Ovis aries: one gene and its partner. The protein of the gene in region 1 interacts with the protein of each later gene in a pairwise test. Links are inferred from orthologs where the notes say so. Each region holds a gene or a part of one and is shown in the gene's direction. Other genes may lie near its edges.

What was found.
Region 2: the proteins of EVL (region 1) and TRIM9 interact in binary tests that used the Homo sapiens proteins (3 or more experiments, as listed by UniProt). The two-hybrid records come from large-scale screens. The link is inferred for Ovis aries from reciprocal best matches to the Homo sapiens genes EVL and TRIM9.

Annotation. Positions count from the first base shown.
Region 1 is NC_056071.1:62,673,117-62,677,727, forward strand, and holds the start of EVL (ena/VASP-like protein), read left to right. Parts: upstream 1-1,528; 5' UTR 1,529-1,604; coding exon of another isoform or gene 1,605-1,615; 5' UTR 1,616-4,611. UniProt on the Homo sapiens protein: Ena/VASP proteins are actin-associated proteins involved in a range of processes dependent on cytoskeleton remodeling and cell polarity such as axon guidance and lamellipodial and filopodial dynamics in migrating cells.
Region 2 is NC_056060.1:42,064,736-42,067,442, reverse strand, and holds the end of TRIM9 (E3 ubiquitin-protein ligase TRIM9), read left to right. Parts: exon of another isoform or gene 1-1,344; coding exon 1,345-1,648; 3' UTR 1,649-2,041; downstream 2,042-2,707. UniProt on the Homo sapiens protein: E3 ubiquitin-protein ligase which ubiquitinates itself in cooperation with an E2 enzyme UBE2D2/UBC4 and serves as a targeting signal for proteasomal degradation.

The DNA of each region.
Region 1 (4,611 bases):
CCATTTCCTTCTCCAATGCATGCAAGTAAAAAGTGAAAGTGAAGTCGCTCAGTCGTGTCCGACTCAGCGACCCCATGGACTGCAGCCTACCAGGCTCCCCCATCCCTGGGGTTCTTCAGGCAAGAACACTGGAGTGGGTTGCCATTGCCTTCTCCAATGCATGAAAGTGAAAAGTGAAAGTGAAGTCGCTCAGTCGAGTCCGACTCAGCGACCCCATGGACTGCAGCCTACCAGGCTCCCCTGTCCATGGGATTTTCCAGGCAAGAACACTGGAGTGGGTTGCCATTGCCTTCTCCAATGCGTGAAAGTGAAGTCACTCAGTCGAGTCCGACTCTGTGCGACCCCATAGATGGTAGCCCATCAGGCTCCCCCGTCCCTGGGATTCTCCAGGCAAGAACACTGGAGTGGGTTGCCATTGCCTTCTCCGAGTATTAAGTTAGAAATAAACAATAATAACAGAAGTAGGATAGCACCGAACGTTTGGGAATTAAAGTATTTCTCAAGAATCTGTATATAAAAGAGTCACAGGGTAAAATAGAAAATATTTTGAACTAAGAAAAAAAGCCACAATATGTCAAAGTTTGTGGTTTGCAACCTAAAGCTGCTTTTAAAGGGAGATGCGTATCTTTGAAACCCTTTGAAAATGCATTTTCGGCACTCGGCTCTCACTGACTGTGCTCTCAGCTCTCCAGTTAGAAGCACTCTTTCTATTGTACCATACTCGGAACAGCTGTTTTCTGCTCTATTGGTAATAACATCTTAACACATCAATTTGCTAACCTGTCAGTCGCTTCCTTTCTCAACAGTCAAAGCCCTTCAAGGACAAGAGTTGCCATTCAGGTCGGTGTTTTGTCTCCAGTTTCTGGCACAACGCATGACGCTTGGAGGGTTCTCAGTCAGTTCTGAATGAAAGCTGGGGAGTGGATCTTACCTTCCTGAGAACCCAGTGGAGACAGGCGGACCGAGGATGATTAACCCCATTTTTCAGCAGAGGAAACACAAGCCCAGGTTCCCTTAACAAGCCGGTGACAAGGCCAGGCTTCCATCACCCCTCAGATATTTTCCTTTCAGGCCACCGATGACAGAAGTGTCACCATTCATGAGAAGCGTCTCCCTAACAGAAGTACGGAGTTCATTAGCGAGTAAACCGTGAGGCCGTCCCCAGCTGTAATGCCATCATGGCGTGTGTGCACGCTGGAGGATGGGCCAGGTGCCTTTCCGAAAGTGTCTAGGGAGCCATCGATGCTGGGCCCCCGAGTCGGGACAGGTGGGGAGCCAGGGCCTTGGCCTTCTCTGCACCGCGCCCACCTGCCCGGCCCCTGCAGAAAGTGCCGGAGTGCGAGGCTGCAGCCTGGCACACGGGCCGCCCACACTGGGGGTTCTGTGCCACAAGCTCTGTTTCTCTGTTTTCTGCCTAGGTTTCAGTTCTCAACTGGGGCTTGTTTCCCCTTTGTCTCTGGTTCAGCTTCCTTTTCCTGTTTGGTTTCAAGTAGAGTCTAAAACTTGAGTTGCTGCCTTCCCAGAGTCTGTGCGCTCAGGTCAGCTGGCCTGGCGGGAACTCGGGACTCATCTCCTCGGGCTCCCTGTCCTGCAGACTTGCAGCCATGACCACTGTGTGAGTACGGGGACCGCAGGGGACAGGGGGACCTCAGGAGCAGACCTGCAGCCGTAGCGGTGTACAGCCCGAGGGAACATGGCAGCCTCCCCAGGTCCCCCGGTTGCACTGATAGGGAGACCGAGGCCAGAGGGCAGGAGGACTCATGACCACTAGACAGTTATGGTTACGATGGAGCCGCCCGCTCCGTCCGTGGTCCATCCACTGCACCAGCCTGTGCCTCTGGTTGCCAGTTGCTGTTAGTGGCGCTGTGTGTATATGAGTGTGTGTGTGTGTGTGTGGCAGAAGCACTTCCTCAGAAGTCAGACTCCTGGCTCGGTTGGTGGGGGGCTCCGAGCTATCTCAGGGTCTGGGATTTGGCTCAGAGGTGCTCTTCTGTCTAGAATGGCCTGAGAATACTCAGGGGTGTTCTCTGAATCCTGGGCACAGAGGGAGGGACTGGGGTGCCTTTTGTACAGGTGGAGACCGCATGGGCTATCTCAGCAGAGCCCCGACCTACCCAAGGCCCTTGGAGCTGAGTGTAGGCAGCGGATGGCCTGGGCTGCGGTGGTTTGGCACGTGTGTGGGCACCAGCCAGTCCGCGTCCTGCCCTGGTAGTTGTGAGCTACTCTTTGCGAAGGTGAGATTGCGACTCAGACTTGATTCTCCCCCACCCTGAGATCCCATGGGAGACTGGATCATAAGACAGAGCTTTATCCTCTGGGATCTGGGGCACTGAACTTCATCGACTCATGGCAGCCCTTCGTCTCAGCATAAGTTATACTCCTTCCCCTTTAAAGATTCCTTCTCAGTTCCCAGACTGCTGTTTGACCAGTGTTCTCGTTTGATTCTTTCAACCATGTCGGGTGGTCGGCTCGGGAAGGGTCATCACTGCTGTTCAGGGGGCAAGGAGGCCTGGCCTCTGACCAGCCTTGGAGCTTTGCTCAGGGCCGCATGGCTGGTTGAGGGCCAGGAGAGCCTACCCAGCACAGGACAGCCATGTTAGGAGGTTCTCCCGGGATGCCGAGTGGGCTCTCTGTAGGCGGTCTGCGGGGAGTTACGACAGGGACAGAACAGTAAGGGGGCCCGTCCAACGCTCCTGGTCAGCAGGGGAGCTTTGGCCATCGCAGCATACCCCACCGTACCCTGAGGGCCTCAGCCAGGCTGCCAAGAGCCCCTTCCTCCAGGCCCAGCGGCTCACAAAGCCCAGGGACGCAGTTGGCCTCTCCTGCTCCTTTGCAGCTGGTTTTCCTTTCCTTTAACATTTACTTAGTTGGCTGCGCCGGGTCTTAGCTGCAGCATTCAGGATCTGCGGTCTTCGTTGCAGTACGTGGGATCTTTAGTTGCGCCATGTAGAATCTAGTTCTCTGACCAGGGATTGAACCCAGGCCCCCTACGTTGAAAGCGCAGAGTCTCATACTGGACCATCCCGGAAGTCCCTGCAGCCAGTTTTATATCATTTCAGTCATTCCCCTGAGCTTTGCGGGATTTGTGAGTAGAGCTGTGGCAAACAAGACTTGCCTCTTTAAAGGCACGTCAGCTTCCACAGAGGGCAGGGACCAAAGTCATCATCAGCCGAAAGCTACACTGTGGGAAGCTCAGTGTACTCCATCCTGTCTGCTGCTGAAGGCAGAAAACAATATCAGAAGGAAACGAGGAGGGAGCAGAGCCACTCCTAAACCGTTAAAACCGGAGCAGGCTTGTAAGTCTCCATCTTGCAAGCAACTCGAGGCCCTCCACCTGCAGTAGGGCGCCCAGGGGAGTGGTGCTTCAGGCACGTTAGCCTCCTCGTCAGCCAGATTCGCCCTCTCTTATCTTGTTTTAAGTATTCCTCCATATTTGTTTAAGGGGGGAAAAAGTTGTTGCTGGTGATAATACCTTGAAATCTGAAAACTACTGATTTAGTCCAGCTCTGAGGTGCACGGATGGGGAAACTGAGGCCCAGAGTCAGGGCAGAGCTTCTGTGTGAGTGAGTTAGTGGTCCAGCCAAAGCGCAGGCCGGGTTTTCTGGGGCCCCCGCCCCGCGAGGCCCCGGCCCTCAGGCTGTCAGGGGGCTGCCCCTGCAGCAGGGCTGTGGGGCCCGGCCACTGAAGAGCGTCTTGAGACTTTGCTGTCCTGTTCTGATCTCCAGAGCATCTCCTGGGATGTCCTGAGGCAGGAAGTGCCCGAGAGCCGGGCTAGACTTTGACAGCTGACCCCTTAAAAGAGAAAATAACAGCGGTACCCAGTTTCCAGTTCTCTGCCAGGCATTGTGCTCATCACGTGGTCTGATGTATGTTGTATTTAACCTCGTCCTCTGTGGTTCCCGCTGCTATTCCATCTCGCTGGTAAGGACAGGGGTCAGCAGAGTCAGCTTAACAGCTTACCAGCTCCAGGGCACACTGTTGGGAGAGGTGGGGTCTAAAGCCAGGCCTCTCGTGTTTTCAAAAGCTGAGGGGTCTCACAGAGTCGGACACGACTGAAGTGACTTAGCAGCAGCAGCAGCAAGCTCGTCTGTAACCTCTCAAAGGAACTTGCCCGGAATCCGAGTTTGAATCAAGGCTGCTAGTCTCTGTTACTCTGTGTCGTCTCCAGTTCCCACTGGTCAGACCACGCCTCAGCCCTCCTGCAGTGCCCACGTTGCTGGCGGTCATCCTTCCTTCGCCCCTCCCCTCCCAGCCTAGAGCTGCTCGGGCGCGGGGTCTGGGCCTGCCCGCGTGCCCCGGGATGGCACACACTCACTCAGGTGTCAGCCCGAGCCTGTGATCAGGGGCTCAGCTGGGCTCAGCCTGGTCTCGTCGCCAGGCTTTAAGCTTACCCTCGGAGATGCATGTACTGCCCCGTTCCTTGGCCCGGCCAGATCCCCTCAGAGGCCCCCGAGCCTGTGGACCCCTGCTTCCCTTCCACACAGACTCGGGGACACAGGCATATATTGGAACTAGAAAGTGTCTCTGAGGTTGGAGCCGCCCTTGTGTCCACCTGGCCTGTCAGCTGGGTGGCCTCGAGAGGCAGAGTGGGAAGGCTTGAGACGGGCTCAG
Region 2 (2,707 bases), on another chromosome or scaffold:
TCCCTGATGCCATCACCCATGTACCCCACTTACTTTTCCCTTTCAACTTCTTTATATTGGAATGAAGGGGTAATAATACAACTGCCATACTATGCAGAGAAACAGTTTCTTAAAGCAGAACACGTCCCCTTGCATGTAAACTGCATGTCACCAGGGCCATCATTGCTGAAACTGAGGAACTGCCAAGACACCATTGATACCCCGGTGTTTTTAACGACTGTGCACAATCTGTGTTCTGCATCCCAAGGGGAAAAGAAAAACACTCTCACAGGTCTGTGAGGCTGAAGTTCAGTACTGCTAGATCTCAGTGAGGAGGAAAAGGACAGATCTGATTGTCTAGGCTTAATGGCTTTTTATGAAACCATCAGTTAAAGCATAAGACACAATTTGTTTCCAGTGACAATCACTCCAGCTCCTAAAGTACGATTATTTCACCTTACAGAGAGAAGATTCCTCTTGTTCAATGTTGCCATTTTATGGAGAGCCTCCAGCTTCTCAATTCAATTTCAGTATGCCCCAAATTCCCATCTTTCTGGAATGAGTTTTTCTGATTGATGAACAGCATGAGGCCCCAAATCTAATTTTTCATGCCTGTGTTCTAGGTTCAGCTTAAGTGCCTCTTTACTTTGACTTTCAAATTAAATCGTTTTGGATTGAATGACGCTTAATTCACAACTTGAGACACAGCTCGAGGCAAAGTTCTGGTAGCCTAAAGGCTACTTTTTGTTCCTGGCCTTTGATGCTTGTGTATCCCTGTGGAGACTGTGTGAAGGGGTTCACTCTTAGCAATAGCAGAGCAGCGCAGTGAACCTGTGTATTTTCAACGTGAGAATTGGTTCAGGGAGCAAGCAGATCTTACTTTTTTATATACATGGGCTTCCCAGGTGGTGTGAGTGGTAATGAATCCGCCTGCCAATGCAGGAGACTTTTTTATATAAAGCAGGAGCCATAAGAGACGTGGGTTTGATCCTTGGGTGGGAAGATCCCCTGAAGGAGGGCCTGGCAACCAACTCCATTATACTTGCCTGGAGAATCCCAGAATCCCATAGACAGAGGAGCCTGAAGGGCTATGATGATCCACTGGGTCACAAAGAGTCAGACATGACTAAAGCAACTGAGCACCGCACAACACAGCTATACATGCGGCACATAAGTAGATAAACAGTATATCTGTGGCGTTAAAACTGTATGTGAGGAGGGGTCACTAAGAGGAAAAGTGTGTTAGAAGGCTTTGGGGGTAGGGAATGAGAATTTTAAACAGATTAAGAAATAACTGGTTTAACCATACAAACGGAGCTTCTGGAAGGACGGGCAAGTGAAACCCTATGTTTTCTTTTTCCACAGAACTGAGGGAGGGATCACAAAGGGGGCCACGATTGGGGTCCTCCTCGACTTCAATAGAAAAACCTTGACGTTTTTTATCAACGACGAACAGCAAGGTCCCATCGCGTTTGAGAACGTGGAGGGCCTGTTCTTCCCGGCAGTCAGCCTGAACAGGAACGTGCAGGTGAGCGGCTGCTCCATTTGTGAGGCTGCCCGCGGGACGGTGAGCTCAGTCCCCCACCTTGGAGGGCCCAGACCAAGACGCGGAGGAGAGGGGTGCGGGGTGGGAGGACGTGACAAGGGAGATAATTCCAGACCAGCATAAGCCCCTTCGTTGTATTTAGACACAGCTTGGTGAACAGCAGCAGGGGAAACTGGGATTCTCTGGTGGCAGGCTAATGACTGTCCTCCTGAGCCCTAGATTCCTCTCTAGTGGAAAGGAAACTCTTGAACCGGTGGCCTGAAAGCAAATGAAATGACTGCCGCAAAGCCCCAGGAGCTCCTGAGAAGTGAAAGTGTGAGCCTGAAGTGCTAACAAGATGCTTAGAAATCTGGGGCTTCTCCACTGCAGACTTATCACTTCTGTTAGGGAGGGAAAACATAGTCCCTGCCTGCAAGTTAGTAATGATTTTTTGTAAATATAAACAACAGGGTTTCCTTATTTGTTCATTCAATAAATATCTACTGAGTGCCTTTGATATGTCAGGCACTACTGAAGTATTTAAGTATTGTTGTTTATCAGTGAAAACATAAAAATGAAAATCTTGCCCTCTTAGAGCTTGCATTTTAGTTACAAGAGACACAGTAAATAATACGCACAATTGCTGTGTTAATTATATAGTGTATTAGAAGGCACTATTGGAAAAGACCCTTATGCTGGGAATGATTGCGGGCAAGAGGATAAGGAGGTGACAGAGGATGAGATGGTTGGATGGCATCACTGACTCAATAGATATGAGTTTGGGCAAACTCTGGGAGTTAGTGAAGGACAGGGAAGCCTGGCATTCTGCAGTTCATGGGGTCGCAAAGAGGCAGACACGACTTAGCGACTAAACAACAGCAGCAAGGCAATATGCAGTGGAGAGAAGACAAGGAAAGGGTGGGGAACCAAGAGTGCCAGGGTAGGGAGGGCAGTGGCAGTCTTAAGCAGGGTGGTCAGCATAGGTGGGCCTTATTGCAGTCACAGGTGAGCTGAGCCTTGAAGGAAGTGAGGGAGTGAGCTGGGTAAGGCTTTCCAGGCAGAGGGAACAGCCAGGGCAAAGTTTCTAAGATGTGAAGGGCTTCACACAGGGAAAGAAGGGCCAGGAAACCACAGCTGGGGCAGATGGGGGGGCGGTGGGAGAACAGATCAGGGCATGTGCGAGAGGGTGCCCTACCAGCCACT